Saccharomyces cerevisiae S288C: one gene and its partners. The protein of the gene in region 1 interacts with the protein of each later gene in a biochemical or structural test. Each region holds a gene or a part of one and is shown on either strand. Other genes may lie near its edges. The genes, in order: ATG8, ATG40, CCT2 and APE1.

Region 1 (3,137 bases):
GGTTTGAATCTGGTTCTATGCCTTATGCTTCTCAACATTATCCATTTGAAAACACAGAAAAATTTGACGAAAGAGTTCCAGCTAATTTCATCTCTGAAGGTTTGGATCAAACAAGAGGTTGGTTCTACACGTTAGCTGTCTTAGGTACCCATCTATTTGGCTCTGTTCCATACAAGAACGTCATCGTCTCTGGTATTGTCTTAGCTGCCGATGGTAGAAAGATGTCTAAATCCTTGAAAAATTACCCTGATCCATCCATTGTTCTGAACAAATATGGTGCGGATGCATTAAGATTGTACTTGATAAACTCACCTGTTTTAAAAGCTGAAAGTTTGAAATTCAAAGAAGAGGGTGTTAAGGAGGTTGTTTCAAAGGTCTTACTACCATGGTGGAACTCCTTTAAATTTTTGGACGGTCAAATTGCCTTGTTGAAAAAGATGTCTAACATCGACTTCCAATATGATGATTCTGTGAAAAGTGATAATGTCATGGACAGATGGATTTTAGCTTCTATGCAATCTCTAGTACAATTCATTCACGAAGAAATGGGTCAGTACAAATTATACACTGTCGTTCCAAAACTTTTGAATTTCATTGATGAATTGACAAACTGGTATATTAGATTTAATCGTCGTCGTTTGAAGGGTGAAAACGGTGTTGAGGACTGTTTGAAAGCATTAAATTCTTTATTCGATGCCTTATTCACATTTGTCCGTGCCATGGCTCCATTCACCCCATTTTTGTCAGAAAGCATTTATTTGAGACTGAAGGAATACATCCCAGAAGCTGTCTTAGCAAAATACGGTAAGGACGGAAGATCAGTCCATTTCTTATCTTACCCAGTGGTCAAGAAAGAATACTTTGACGAGGCCATCGAAACTGCAGTTTCTAGAATGCAATCCGTTATCGATTTGGGTAGAAACATTCGTGAAAAGAAAACTATTTCCTTAAAAACTCCATTGAAGACTTTGGTCATCCTTCACAGTGATGAATCATACTTGAAGGATGTAGAAGCCTTGAAAAACTACATTATCGAGGAATTAAATGTTCGTGATGTTGTTATCACCTCCGATGAGGCAAAATATGGTGTTGAGTATAAAGCAGTTGCTGATTGGCCTGTATTGGGTAAGAAGTTGAAAAAAGACGCAAAGAAGGTTAAAGATGCCCTACCATCAGTCACTTCTGAGCAAGTACGGGAATATTTGGAAAGCGGAAAGTTGGAGGTTGCCGGTATTGAACTGGTTAAAGGAGATTTGAATGCTATTAGAGGCTTGCCAGAATCTGCTGTCCAAGCTGGACAAGAAACCAGAACCGACCAAGACGTGTTAATCATCATGGATACAAATATTTACTCTGAACTAAAGAGTGAAGGTCTCGCAAGAGAGCTGGTCAACAGAATCCAAAAATTGAGAAAGAAGTGTGGTTTGGAAGCCACCGACGATGTTTTAGTGGAGTACGAATTAGTTAAAGATACTATCGACTTTGAAGCCATTGTCAAAGAACATTTTGATATGTTAAGCAAGACCTGTAGATCCGACATTGCCAAATATGACGGCTCAAAGACAGACCCAATTGGTGATGAAGAACAATCTATTAATGACACCATTTTCAAATTAAAAGTGTTCAAATTATGAAAACAACTCATATAAATACGTACAAATTTTTCTCTACTCGAAGTGATATAGATGTATATGTGTAAGTTTACGTTTAAGTTAGAGTCATGTAATGCTAACTGTCTCCACCGATAATGTTGTATAATACCCGTGAAATCATAGCACATGATATATCATCACCCGGAGGCCGGTTATTTTCGGCGGCGGCAAAAATATTTGGTATAATTATGGAAATACAAAAAGGGGAACCATTAAAGGTTGAGGAGGGGATTGATAAGAGAATCTAATAATTGTAAAGTTGAGAAAATCATAATAAAATAATTACTAGAGACATGAAGTCTACATTTAAGTCTGAATATCCATTTGAAAAAAGGAAGGCGGAGTCGGAGAGGATTGCTGACAGGTTCAAGAATAGGATACCTGTGATTTGCGAAAAAGCTGAAAAGTCAGATATTCCAGAGATTGATAAGCGTAAATATCTAGTTCCTGCTGACCTTACCGTAGGGCAATTTGTTTATGTTATAAGAAAGAGAATTATGCTACCCCCTGAGAAGGCCATCTTCATTTTTGTCAATGATACTTTGCCACCTACTGCGGCGTTGATGTCTGCCATATATCAAGAACACAAGGATAAGGACGGGTTTTTGTATGTCACTTACTCAGGAGAAAATACATTTGGCAGGTAGTCTTTTATATGAAAAGAAATGAAGCGTTAACATCTAAAATCGAAATTATAGGGACTCATTAGCCATCTATTGTTCCAGTATAAGAATGTTTACATAAAAAATTCGAAAAAAAAAGATAAAATAAGGGAAAAATATATATATATTCATTAAGAAGTTTTGTACACAACGGAGCCAAGATTTCACCAGTATTTGGAGACAAATGTGAGCACGTTATGGTATTTACTTACAGATTACGATCTGTTCAATGCATCAGAAATAGGAAGAAATTCAAAATAAAATAAAAAAAATATTAGGAAGGAGTGAAAAAGCAAATAAGATGATACAGTAAGGTGGAGTTAATGTCTTTCTTCTCCAAAATGTATTCTTGCTAACCAAAAATCTGATTCTCTCTGACCTGTTCGTTTGTCTTATGTATGTAGAATCAATTTCTTACAGAATTTTAAATACTGTATAGTGGAAAAGAATAATAAATAAATACTCGACTATATTTACCTTTATCTTAAGGAAAAGTTCACTCGATATTCTTAACTTTACCGTCTAGTAAGGCCTCTTTATTACATTAAAATATACACGTACATTACCCTGCTATCTATATGTCGAACATGAATTTTTATTCTTTGTAGAAACAAATCCCCAAATTATTGCCGCTGTTCTTAACGTACTTTTCAATTGGATCATTATCAATTTTGTATTCCTTCAAGTGAATGATATCGTTGTAGGAAATAATGTCCCTAAATTTCCTGTCCGATTTGTACCATTCGTGAATTAACCAGGTCATTTCTTTATTAAATACGGAATTATCGGAATCTGATGTCTCGATTAGTTCTTTTAAAATATA
Region 2 (3,520 bases), on another chromosome or scaffold:
CTGGGTTTAGGCAACCATCCATTGGTTTCAAGATTTGGAAAGTATTGGTTTCTTTAGAACGTTGAAACTTTCTCAGCCCACTTTTTAGGATTTTGTATGGAATATTAACCACAGTTGACTGATAGGCGACATCTGCGGAAGCACCAGAAGCACTTAAGTTCTTCCAAGCGCAACCTAAGGAATAAGGCTTATAAAAGTCAGGGTCTGCCGCACTTAGGTGAGCCATATTCTTAACCCAGGCGGCACTAGAAAAATTTTCGGAGTTGGGGTCCAATTTTGGGTCATAGCCTGGAGCTTCAGGATCAGAGAATATCGGGTTTACACCTTCCACACCGCTAGAAAATATAGACTGAGCATCACTTTTGTTGGGTGCCGATTGAGTGGAGTTTTGCATACTCTGTGCGGTCAGAGTCCTTGCCAGTTTTTGGATTCGAGCTTCTGTATGCTCATCGAACCCATTATAATTGTGTAGATCAGCAGCGTTTTCAGTAGAAGAAGACGCGGAGGAGTAGCTAGTAACGTCGTTGACGTTATTGTTAAGCTTGGCCTCGGGCATTTTTGTCTAAAGTCTTTCGAACGAGCGGATACGAAAACTTAAAAGGGTCTTTAATTTCTTTTTCGAAAGTTCCTAGTTGCCAATTTATTTATAATTAGAATAACAAAGTCGAGTGATAACTAACACAGTTGTTATATGTTTGCAACTTTGCGTGACTTTTTTCTTTTGGATTTCATTCTAAGGTATGATAATAAAAGCGAACAGCCATAAGGTTATGCACATCACAATTATATATGTATAGGAGAGGCCTTGTTTGTATTGCTCAGATTACGTTCAACAGATATCGTACCACGGCGTAGAAGAGTTCCGCGGAGACATTTCTCTTTTTTTAGCACATTACCATAAGTAGGAATACAGATCTGACCTTTCCACGGAATCACGAGTCCAAAGGGTGCTGAATCGTGATCACGACCCGCGGGTGAGCCCACACTCACCGGAGTCTTAGTAAATCTGAAAATGTTGTGGCACCGCGGCATGAGCGATTCCGCGGAAAGAGAGGGGCAGTCTTAAGTTTCAGTCCACTCGTTCCGTGGGAAGCAATCGACCGAATGGTTCTCCACGGACGTTTTCTCGGCGGCAAGGTTGTGTCGTGATAATCGTTGCATAGATGTGATGGCTTCCTGCAACTTATCCTGTGCTCGAAGGCGCAGAATGCGAACGTTCGCGCTGAGGAACGTTCATGTTCTTTTATTAGTAAGATCATACGTGTGGTGTTGTTTTCCATTGAGTTCCACTCCTGATTGTGTGAAGTGATAAATGTTGTGTACTATGTAAGGGACTGCGCCAACGAGGTGCTGCTTTCTATTATGGCAAATTGTTGCGAGTATGGCTTAATTGTTTATTGTAATAGGTAATTTGATGTTCTTTTTTTTCTTTGATTTGAACTTTTGTTCTCTCTCTCAACTTTTTCTTTTCTTTGTCCTTGTTGATTAGATTGTGACGATAATTTCCTTATAATATCATTGTTGGAATCAAAGAGGAAGACATATTTACGTTAACGAACAAGTTCAGTGAACCATCTAAACATAGAAAGGGGTCCCAGAGAACGCTTCCTTTGTATGATATCTGAAATTTGTCTACTGCATTCAGGCTTATATATATGTGTGTGGTAGCGCCCAACGGAGAACCGTATATGACGGACTTTACTGTGTCACATTTCAGAAAAACAATAAGTGTTTTTCCCTTCCGTAAATAGCACATATTCATTCCTATATCGCCTCTCTGTTTTATGCTCTTTTTTCCCGGGCATTTATTATTACCCGGTATTTCCAAAGATGCGGTTACTGCCCGCGGGTATTGGGCCTCCCTTAATATGCATCGATTTTACTGTTTAAAATCGTACAAAAGATAATATGTGGAAACAACTTTCCTAAGCAGCGAAATACACGTGCAAGAGCAACGTTATATCATTTCGATTTCATTTAATTTGATCTGGCTCGACATTAGTATTTCAAATCGAGGATAAGATTTTTGTAGTGCTCTTTTTTTCTATCTTTTAGCTAAGGTTCCTAACGTTCTTTCTGCTGTGCTTCACTCCACCATAGAAAACTAATGTTTAATTTAATTTTATGGCCCTTATTTTTGCTTACCTCAGTTGCCATTCCTTTGCAGCTGACATTAGAAGTGGTCTATCTGACGTCTTCCGTTGACTTCTCAAAGGCAAGTGCTGCTAAAACCGCTACTTCTTTGGGTCAGTCCCCAGTTGTCATCACCATTTATAAATCACTGTTAAAATATTGGAGTCTTTACGAGTTCATACATTTTATTTACCTCTATACTCCTATTGATGCCTTTCTGAATTTCTTACCATTTACCTCTTTACTTATGTCGTTTGGAAGTATTTGCTTGACAAGAGAGCTGGTATATGACTTCATTGCCTTTATGGAATCTCAAAACAAGCTTACCGGATTCCTTAATAAGATAACAGAACCGAATTTTAACAGTTATTTACTGTTTTCTTCAATTTATAACATTTGGTTTGCAGATGACACCAATGACAAATTCTTATTCGGTAAATTAACTCAGATTTTAATATCTGTAACAAAAAGGTACGAATTTCCAAGAACATTCTACTTAGCAAAAGTTTCTGATTTCCTACAAAATCTCATTCTAACGAGATTGAGACCCTTTGTAACGGAGCAACCCCAAGGCGACAAAAATCGCTATCAAAACGGTGACCGTGAATCTACAAAGAATGGAGCTGCTTATCAGAAGTCTTCACAACAATCATCGTCTTTCGAACAAAATTTTACCAGCACTGAGTTCCCGAATGATTATGATTTTATGGAGGATATTCTAGATGAGACAACTGAATTGGATTAGAATAGTTTTTCCATTTTACCATAATGGTAGTCTATGAAGGTACCTAATTTTTCATAGACACAAAACAAAGTTCAGGCGACGAAACACAAAAATCGCCATATATATTTACGCATATGTATGCATTCTAGGAAACAGAAAAAAATAAATAATATAGTTCCTTCTTGTGACTTCCTCTCCAACCCGCCGCATAATCGTCGGCATGGTTAAACATGCTGTATCGGCTATTAAGGAAAGAAAGTATACATAAAAGAATGAAATAAAGTTGTCCAAATGGTGAAGAATTTAAAAAAATGCTACTTCGAGCTGCTACTATGAGTTTATAGGCTGAACATAGCATATAGCATTTCATAACTGCACTATAATTGAGGTTTCTCTGTTTTAAAAGCATAATCCCAAATAATTCTGAGTTGACAAAATAGCGGCCATCTTAAAATAATTTGTTACCCTGCTTGGCGTTCAAAATGATTTTTCACTTTTCTATTTTTTTTCATCCTCTCACTTTCGTAGTAGCTTTTGAAAAAGTGGCGAACAAACAAGAAGTGAGTTGTAATTCATGCAATAAGGAACTGACCACTACTTTTAGCAACCATAAAAGCTAGTGATTTGTCTAAGTAGGGAGCAGCTTTATAAAGTTAGGGTACT
Region 3 (4,262 bases), on another chromosome or scaffold:
TCTGCTGTCATGGGACACCAAACCTCTGCACATTGGACATTTGCAATATGTCCTTTTTGGGATAATTCCATCCAATTTGCTTCATAAAGTTTTGGACCAATTAAAAAATTCAGATCACCAATTTTATCATCTTCTCTAACCAGCGTTGCGGTCAGTCCCAATTTGGCGTGTGCTGCGATGGTGGAGACCACCCTACGGAACATTGCGGCGGGCACCACATGAACTTCGTCAAGAATAATGAACCCCCATTCCCTACCGGTCAAGAAATCCATAACTTTTTGTGAATCATGAGACCTGTTTCTTGTGTTTGCCACCATTGAATAAGTGGAAACAACCAAACCGGATTCTGTCTGGAACATTTCCTTATTATCAGAGGTGAAAACAGCACAATTTTCAGGTTGTAAGGTACACCATTGTAAAAATTGCTGCCTCCATTGCATGACGGAGACTGATGAAGTACATAAAACAATTACGGATTTTTTTATAGTACATGCTGCGGTAATACCGACCAAAGTTTTACCTGCGCCACATGGCAAAACAATAATCCCTGAACGAGCACGCCCATTACCAAACATTTTACTCAGCGATTTTTCTTGATAGGGTCTGATTTGAGTGGAAGGTTTCAAATCAATATCTAAATCCGGGTTTCTATGGTCGTTTCTAAAGTCGTATTCTTCCAACACGGGATAATCGATTTCTTGACATCTTTTCTTTACGACTTCAACAGACTCATTGGCAATTTCAAAGGAGTGAACGGCATCAATATCATCATCTTCTTCTTCCCGCTCATTATCACCACCTATAACTGCACTAAACACGGCTTCCACATCGTTCGGATTAACATTAGTAGCGGGTTTTCCAGCGGTTTGCTGAAGTTGTTGCTGTAGTACATCCTCTGGTGGCTGTACTTGATGATCGCTATCTATTCTTAGGGGCCCGATGACGGAATCATTCAGCAACATTTGCAGAATATCTGCTTGTGTAGTCTCCACGAAATATCTATTATGCTTAATAACTAGTTTCACTTTACCGTATGAAATGGTAGCCCCTTTAATGAAGTTGATTATCGATTCAGCAACGGGTACTTTGGATAATCTATCCAGAACTGAAATGATATCATCCGTCTCCAACCCTACAGAAACAGCTGCATACAAAGAGTATGCTGTGATCTTGTATTCATGAATATGGGAGGGTCTACTTATAGGCTCTGCAATGGTGACCAGAAAGTCCTGAGCCTGTTCTGCTAATGGAGAGAAACTCTCCAGAATGATCCTACCGTCACTTGGCGAGATCCAAAGGGGCCTGGAAGCATGGTCTGGTCTTAACCGCAAATAACTAAAGTCATGGCTTCTGAACATTCCAGAGACGGAATCTGGAACGAAATCTGCTGGTATATCGCTATTAGTGTCCTGCAAAAGCGCTTTATCCTTAGCGTCCATTTGATTCATAGAGGAATCCGCCGCTGTATGCCTGCTACTCTTGGTCTTTTTCCGAGGCTTCTTCAACCCTGTTACCATGGCGCCGGTATCCCTTTCTCCACGTCCTTCTGACGTTTCCCTGTTATCATCATAGTTCTCATCGATCTCTGCATCAGTAGCTGGTGAATCCTCATCTGATGAGAAAAAGGACTCACCCATATCTGGAAAGATTTTCCCCTTGCTCTTAGGTTGGTAGCCTTCAACGTCCGTCATGATTTATCTTCCACTGATTCCAACGTCAGTAGATGCTACTTTTACTAAATAATGTAGATATCATTACTATTATCTATCCTTACTAAGGACCTTTTTCCTTATACTTCTTAGAAGAAAAACCTCGTTTCTAACGATCTGAAATTTTTTTCTCTTCGCGGTGGCGAGTTTAAAAGACAAGAGCAGAGCAATAAAAAAGAGGATGAAAGGTGGCCATTAAATAGGCAAGAAGAGTCAGTCGTACAAAGCTCAAAAGATTCAGGATGAGTGTACAGATATTTGGAGACCAGGTTACAGAAGAAAGAGCGGAAAACGCCCGTTTGTCGGCGTTTGTCGGTGCCATTGCCGTGGGTGATTTGGTGAAAAGCACATTAGGCCCAAAAGGGATGGATAAATTATTGCAAAGTGCGTCCAGTAACACTTGCATGGTAACAAACGATGGTGCTACGATTCTGAAGTCAATTCCGCTGGATAATCCCGCAGCCAAAGTGTTGGTGAACATCAGTAAGGTGCAGGATGACGAAGTTGGAGATGGTACCACTAGTGTTACTGTTTTGAGCGCAGAGTTGCTTAGAGAAGCAGAGAAGTTGATTGATCAATCCAAAATCCACCCTCAAACTATTATTGAAGGTTACCGACTAGCTTCAGCAGCCGCATTGGATGCGTTAACGAAAGCGGCTGTTGACAACTCTCATGATAAGACCATGTTCCGTGAAGATCTGATCCATATTGCCAAGACTACTTTATCTTCCAAAATTTTGTCTCAGGATAAGGATCACTTCGCAGAATTAGCAACTAATGCTATTTTGAGATTGAAGGGCTCCACTAACTTAGAACATATTCAGATCATTAAGATTCTTGGTGGAAAGCTATCAGATTCGTTCCTTGACGAAGGTTTCATTCTTGCCAAAAAATTTGGTAACAACCAACCCAAGAGAATTGAAAATGCTAAGATTCTAATCGCCAATACAACTTTGGATACAGACAAGGTCAAAATATTCGGCACCAAATTCAAAGTCGATTCTACTGCTAAATTGGCACAACTAGAAAAGGCAGAACGTGAAAAGATGAAGAATAAAATTGCCAAGATTTCCAAGTTTGGTATCAACACTTTCATCAATAGACAACTAATTTATGACTATCCAGAGCAATTATTTACAGATTTGGGCATAAACTCAATTGAGCATGCTGATTTTGAAGGTGTAGAAAGGCTCGCCCTGGTTACAGGCGGTGAGGTGGTGTCTACATTTGACGAGCCAAGTAAATGCAAACTGGGAGAATGTGACGTGATCGAGGAAATTATGCTTGGTGAACAGCCATTCTTGAAGTTTAGTGGTTGCAAAGCTGGTGAAGCTTGTACCATCGTCCTAAGAGGTGCTACCGACCAAACGCTTGATGAAGCTGAGAGATCCCTGCATGACGCATTGTCCGTGTTGTCACAGACCACAAAGGAAACAAGAACTGTTCTTGGCGGCGGTTGCGCCGAGATGGTCATGTCAAAAGCTGTGGACACCGAAGCTCAAAACATCGACGGAAAGAAGTCCCTTGCCGTGGAGGCTTTTGCCCGTGCTCTGAGACAACTGCCAACCATTTTGGCAGATAATGCTGGTTTTGACAGCAGCGAACTTGTGTCCAAACTAAGATCCTCCATATACAACGGTATCTCCACCTCAGGTTTAGATCTCAACAACGGAACCATTGCCGACATGAGACAGTTAGGTATCGTCGAGAGTTACAAGCTAAAACGAGCAGTAGTCAGCTCTGCATCTGAAGCCGCTGAAGTTCTACTAAGGGTGGATAACATCATCCGTGCAAGACCAAGAACCGCCAATAGACAACATATGTAACATATTTAGGATATACCTCGAAAATAATAAACCGCCACACTGTCATTATTATAATTAGAAACAGAACGCAAAAATTATCCACTATATAATTCAAAGACGCGAAAAAAAAAGAACAACGCGTCATAGAACTTTTGGCAATTCGCGTCACAAATAAATTTTGGCAACTTATGTTTCCTCTTCGAGCAGTACTCGAGCCCTGTCTCAAGAATGTAATAATACCCATCGTAGGTATGGTTAAAGATAGCATCTCCACAACCTCAAAGCTCCTTGCCGAGAGTCGCCCTCCTTTGTCGAGTAATTTTCACTTTTCATATGAGAACTTATTTTCTTATTCTTTACTCTCACATCCTGTAGTGATTGACACTGCAACAGCCACCATCACTAGAAGAACAGAACAATTACTTAATAGAAAAATTATATCTTCCTCGAAACGATTTCCTGCTTCCAACATCTACGTATATCAAGAAGCATTCACTTACCATGACACAGCTTCAGATTTCATTATTGCTGACAGCTACTATATCACTACTCCATCTAGTAGTGGCCACGCCCTATGAGGCATATCCTATCGGAAAACAATACCCCCCAGTGGCAAGAGTCAATGAATCGTTTACATTTCAAATTTCCAATGATACCTATAAATCGTCTGTAGACAAGACAGCTCAAATAACATACAATTGCTTCGACTTACCGAGCTGGCTTTCGTTTGACTCTAGTTCTAGAACGT
Region 4 (4,556 bases), on another chromosome or scaffold:
CACACATTTTTTTATAAAAGTTGCTGTTGATTTGCTCGAGAACTTATTGCTTATTTGGCCCTGATAACTATATAAGAAAAGAAATACAGTTATTCCTTGTTTATGCTGGCTTTTTGTCCACTTTTTCTCAACTATATAACTATGATGTTGGAAAGGACACCGGTTCTGTAACTTTGCAGTGAAAATAAGTGTGATGGATGACTGAGAATGCTTTCTTGTAAGCGAAAAGAAGTACGTGTTCCAAAAATAAAGCAGAAAGGCGAAAAGGGTCGAATGTAAGACACTAAATAAATATTTTAAGAAGAGGAAAAGTCGCCTCAGAAACGCTAAAATGCATCCGATTTCCCAAAGAGGAAGTCTAATGTTTTCGATTTGTGAAAAAAAGATAAAAATCGAAGAAAATGTAGGGAGCCGCGCGTTACCCGGATTGATATTTGAGTGATCGACGGCGTCACAAAAGAAAGAATGCTTGGCTAATCAAGAAAAGTATGTGGTTTGTTTCATCTAATACGGCTGTCAAGGCCCACATTGGTGTTCAAATGCATTTTTTATAGTTCGTGGTTACTGTTAATATTCTTTCCTAGTAGAATGTTTGGGGTTTAGGTATTTTTGATGTTTTATTTATAAATAGATATTTATATCTTGACGATTGTGGTGTTTTATTTTTTTTTTTTTATACATTTTTCTTTTCTTCCTGATTCGAAATAAAAGTATTTTTAGAAAAAGGATAAAGAAACAGAAATCAAAAGAAATAAAAAGAGTGTGGCAAAATCACAACTCGCCGAATTCATCGTAGACTGATCTCCAGTGCTTGAAAAATCCGTTGAAGAACTTAACACCTAATCCGACATCCTTGGACCCTGTAGCAGCTCTGATGCTGTGCATGGACAACTGTGCAATTCCCAGGTCTATGGTACGAGCACCTGTTTGAGAAGCCAATGATGGGCCGATAGTACCACCTGATCTTGAGTTGTTTTTGATTTGGAAATATTGCACTTTGTCTCCATTGCGGCGTGCTAATTCTTCTACTAGGGCAGTTCCTACGACATCTGTGGCCATATGACCGTTAGGATCCAGTGATAAAGTGATTCCGACATTAGGCACTGGAAAATGATTCTTCAAATAGACTTCAGGAAAGTTTGGGTTGTAGAGGTGGTTGACGTCTGCGGACAAGATGATGGAATTAGCCCAAACCGTATGCAAATCGACCGGTTTCTTAGTGAATGCAGAAGAACTGCGTTCCACCACTGACTCCAACAAGCCACCTTTTGCGCCTTGTCTTGTCAACGATCCGATTTCTTCATTATCATACAAAGTGACAGTAGAGAATAAATCTGATTCCTCGGTATTAACATCCTTAGCGTAGCAAATCAAAGCAATCATTGCTGCGAAACTACACAACCTGTCATCTAGACGTGGTGCAAAAAGGAAGTGTTTACCAATACCTCCAATGGTACCCTTTTGCACATCGAATAAGTCTAAATCCATTTGAATCAATTCGGACACTTCCACACCGGCTAATTTGGCAACGTACCTTAACAGGTGGATGCAGTGTTTGCCAAATAAGGGCGATTTCTTTTCATCATCCGTGGGAGGTTCATTACCTTCCTCATCCGGAGTGGGGAAGCCGATGACCGGGATAGTTTGGTCCTCTTTATCAAATGGGCCTTCAGCAGGTTTACCGAAATGGGGAGCCAAGGAAGGAATTCGACAAACAGGTAGGGGTGTAGAATCAACCAAGGCGCTTTTAATTTCGTTAGTGCCCTTCTTCTTGTAAAGAAGGCGACCACCAATACCTAGGTCTCTGTCTAGCCACAATTCATTCAGTGTACCTCCATAGGGAGCAACAGCAATTCTTCCGTAACCTTCCGCTGTGTCTTTAAAGGAGACGGGCTTCAATTTGACCGTCAAAGCGTCCACATGAGATCCAATGACACCGACACCCTTTTCGGCTCTCCAGTTTTTGCCCAGGATAAAGGCAGATAGGTTAGTTCCATTTCTTATAGTGTAGAATTTCCCACCATCTTCGCCAATGGAGTCCTGCCAATTGGATTTCTCGCTCAAGTATTTGAAGTTATGCTTATCTAACAGCTCCGCGAAAAATGATACTACATGGTAAGTGGTAGGGTTCTTGTAAATGAAATCAATGAATTCCTGTGCAATATCCTCATAATTGTGCTCGAGGATGCACCACGAATTTTCATTTTCTTTCTTTTCCTTTTCTTCGTTGGCGATTTGGTTATTTTTAGATGGCTCTACAGTTAGCATCTGCAGAGTTTTCTTCAATTGTTCCAGTATTTCACGTTGTTCCTCCATTCTTTTTTTCTTAATTTTGTTGGTTGTGCAGGTTTCTACAATTGCACTAAGATTACTGATCAGGCTCTATACAGTGTATGTCTTGTTCTGTGAAGTCAACTGCTTATAAATGAATTTTTATTATCTAATGGAACGATTAAGGGGTGTGTCAACTATTTCACTTAACCCTATTCTTTCTTACTGTCGTTTGCTTGCATAGCCTATCTTACAGTAATAGAGGTGCAAAACAGCATCACCCCTAGTTGTTTTTCCCGAAAAACCTATCCCAGATTATTTTTTTTTTGAATTAGACAAGAAATCATCCGAAGACCTATTATGCTTCTGATTAAACCTTGAGAAAAACGGAAGTTTGCAACCTATACCCTAAAGTAGAAGCTGACTAATTCATATTCCTCACGAAATGGTGCGACCTCTCTTTATCCATGAGAAAAGGAAGGAGTGGGTTCTTGTTTGATGCTTCTTTATCTGATACCAACAAGCGCAAGAGATAAGGGATTACAATGTTATCATGCCTCAGAAAGTAATAGGATGACATTTTCTTGCAAACGTTGACATTAAAAACATAAAGTACCTTACGGCGTTCGGAGCCTACAAGCCTGCCACAATTTGAGCCGCTGCACAAGAGAACACCGAATGAACAACTGGCTGCAGCTGTCGATGAAACCTCAGCGAATAAAGCACACATTTGTGCGTTTTACAATAACAGGGAAGGTGGAATGTGTTGCCTTCGTCCTTATTTTTCGCGTTGTGAAATATTTTTACTAATTTTTCTTTTCGCGTGGTCATTTTCGCGTTGGGTTGTTTGGGCTAAATAGTGAAAACTAATCTCCATCACGTACCGTACCGTCTTGTACCGGCTGGGAGCAGCATTATAGTGGCCACTCTTATTGGCGTTCTTAATATAAGCAAGTTACCTTTTGCTCGAAACCTGTTTCTTCTTAAAACTCCCTTTGGATCGTAAGTTCGCTAGTTATCCGACTGCAAGGACGTAAATTGGACAGCGAGAGGCCATTAAAACAGAGAGTTGAACTCAAATAGATCATCAAATAGGTTGGATATCCATCATACTACTTGCTACTAATCGCGAAAAGAGATAAATAATAAAATTACAAGAAAGACAAGGTAAAAAGAACGACATAGATTTGCGGGACAAAAAATACTGATAAATAAATCAACAACCAACTATATTCACTCCTTTATTATTTGTTATTAATATTTTTTATTTTTACCACACGACATGACTGGTCACGTTTCAAAAACGAGCCACGTACCCAAAGGTCGCCCGTCTTCATTGGCCAAGAAGGCAGCTAAAAGGGCCATGGCCAAAGTAAATTCGAATCCAAAAAGGGCGTCGGGGCATTTGGAGCGTGTTGTACAATCTGTGAACGACGCTACCAAAAGATTATCTCAGCCCGACTCTACCGTAAGTGTTGCTACAAAATCATCAAAGAGAAAATCCAGAGACACGGTGGGTCCTTGGAAACTTGGCAAAACATTGGGGAAGGGATCTTCTGGTAGGGTTCGCTTGGCTAAAAATATGGAAACAGGACAATTAGCTGCCATTAAAATTGTCCCCAAGAAGAAAGCCTTTGTTCATTGTTCTAATAATGGAACTGTTCCTAATTCTTACTCTTCTTCCATGGTCACTTCCAATGTATCTTCTCCATCAATAGCATCTAGAGAACATAGTAACCATTCTCAAACGAACCCATATGGCATAGAGAGAGAAATAGTAATCATGAAATTGATATCTCACACAAACGTTATGGCATTGTTTGAAGTTTGGGAGAACAAATCAGAGCTGTACCTAGTTTTGGAATATGTTGATGGTGGCGAATTATTCGATTATCTGGTCTCGAAGGGAAAGCTACCTGAAAGGGAGGCTATCCATTACTTCAAGCAGATAGTTGAAGGTGTTTCCTATTGTCATTCTTTTAATATATGCCATCGTGATCTGAAGCCTGAAAATTTATTATTAGATAAAAAGAATAGGAGAATCAAAATTGCTGATTTCGGCATGGCAGCATTAGAGCTTCCTAATAAACTTTTAAAAACTTCATGTGGCTCTCCACACTATGCGTCTCCTGAAATTGTTATGGGTAGACCATATCATGGCGGTCCTAGCGATGTCTGGTCCTGCGGTATCGTTTTATTTGCATTACTCACCGGTCATTTACCATTTAATGATGACAACATCAAAAAGCTGTTGTTGAAAGTTCAATCGGGCAAATATCAAATGC

What was found.
Region 2: the proteins of ATG8 (region 1) and ATG40 are reported together in a solved structure, tested with the Saccharomyces cerevisiae proteins (2 studies listed by BioGRID, with this or other methods).
Region 3: the proteins of ATG8 (region 1) and CCT2 form a complex in vitro, tested with the Saccharomyces cerevisiae proteins (one study listed by BioGRID).
Region 4: the proteins of ATG8 (region 1) and APE1 form a complex in vitro, tested with the Saccharomyces cerevisiae proteins (one study listed by BioGRID).

What each region holds. Positions count from the first base shown.
Region 1 is NC_001134.8:79,540-82,676, reverse strand, and holds ATG8 (ubiquitin-like protein ATG8), read left to right. Parts: upstream 1-1,945; coding exon 1,946-2,299; downstream 2,300-3,137. Other genes in the region: isoleucine--tRNA ligase ILS1, read left to right, coding at 1-1,634; NUP170 (Nup170p), read right to left, coding at 2,910-3,137.
Region 2 is NC_001147.6:616,876-620,395, reverse strand, and holds ATG40 (Atg40p), read left to right. Parts: upstream 1-2,107; coding exon 2,108-2,878; downstream 2,879-3,520. Other genes in the region: ATP-binding cassette multidrug transporter PDR5, read right to left, coding at 1-556. UniProt on the Saccharomyces cerevisiae protein: Acts as a receptor for reticulophagy. Directs autophagic sequestration of folded tubules/sheets derived from the cortical endoplasmic reticulum (cER) and the cytoplasmic endoplasmic reticulum (cytoER) into autophagosomes.
Region 3 is NC_001141.2:81,351-85,612, forward strand, and holds CCT2 (chaperonin-containing T-complex subunit CCT2), read left to right. Parts: upstream 1-1,951; coding exon 1,952-3,535; downstream 3,536-4,262. Other genes in the region: TFIIH/NER complex ATPase/helicase subunit SSL2, read right to left, coding at 1-1,691; AXL2 (Axl2p), read left to right, coding at 4,016-4,262. UniProt on the Saccharomyces cerevisiae protein: Molecular chaperone; assists the folding of proteins upon ATP hydrolysis. Known to play a role, in vitro, in the folding of actin and tubulin. In yeast may play a role in mitotic spindle formation.
Region 4 is NC_001143.9:245,367-249,922, forward strand, and holds APE1 (metalloaminopeptidase APE1), read right to left. Parts: upstream 2,317-4,556; coding exon 772-2,316; downstream 1-771. Other genes in the region: glutamine--fructose-6-phosphate transaminase (isomerizing) GFA1, read right to left, coding at 1-7; YKL102C (uncharacterized protein), read right to left, coding at 2,696-3,001; protein kinase HSL1, read left to right, coding at 3,554-4,556. UniProt on the Saccharomyces cerevisiae protein: Resident vacuolar enzyme that catalyzes the removal of amino acids from the N-terminus of peptides and proteins. Also acts as the major cargo protein of the cytoplasm-to-vacuole targeting (Cvt) pathway.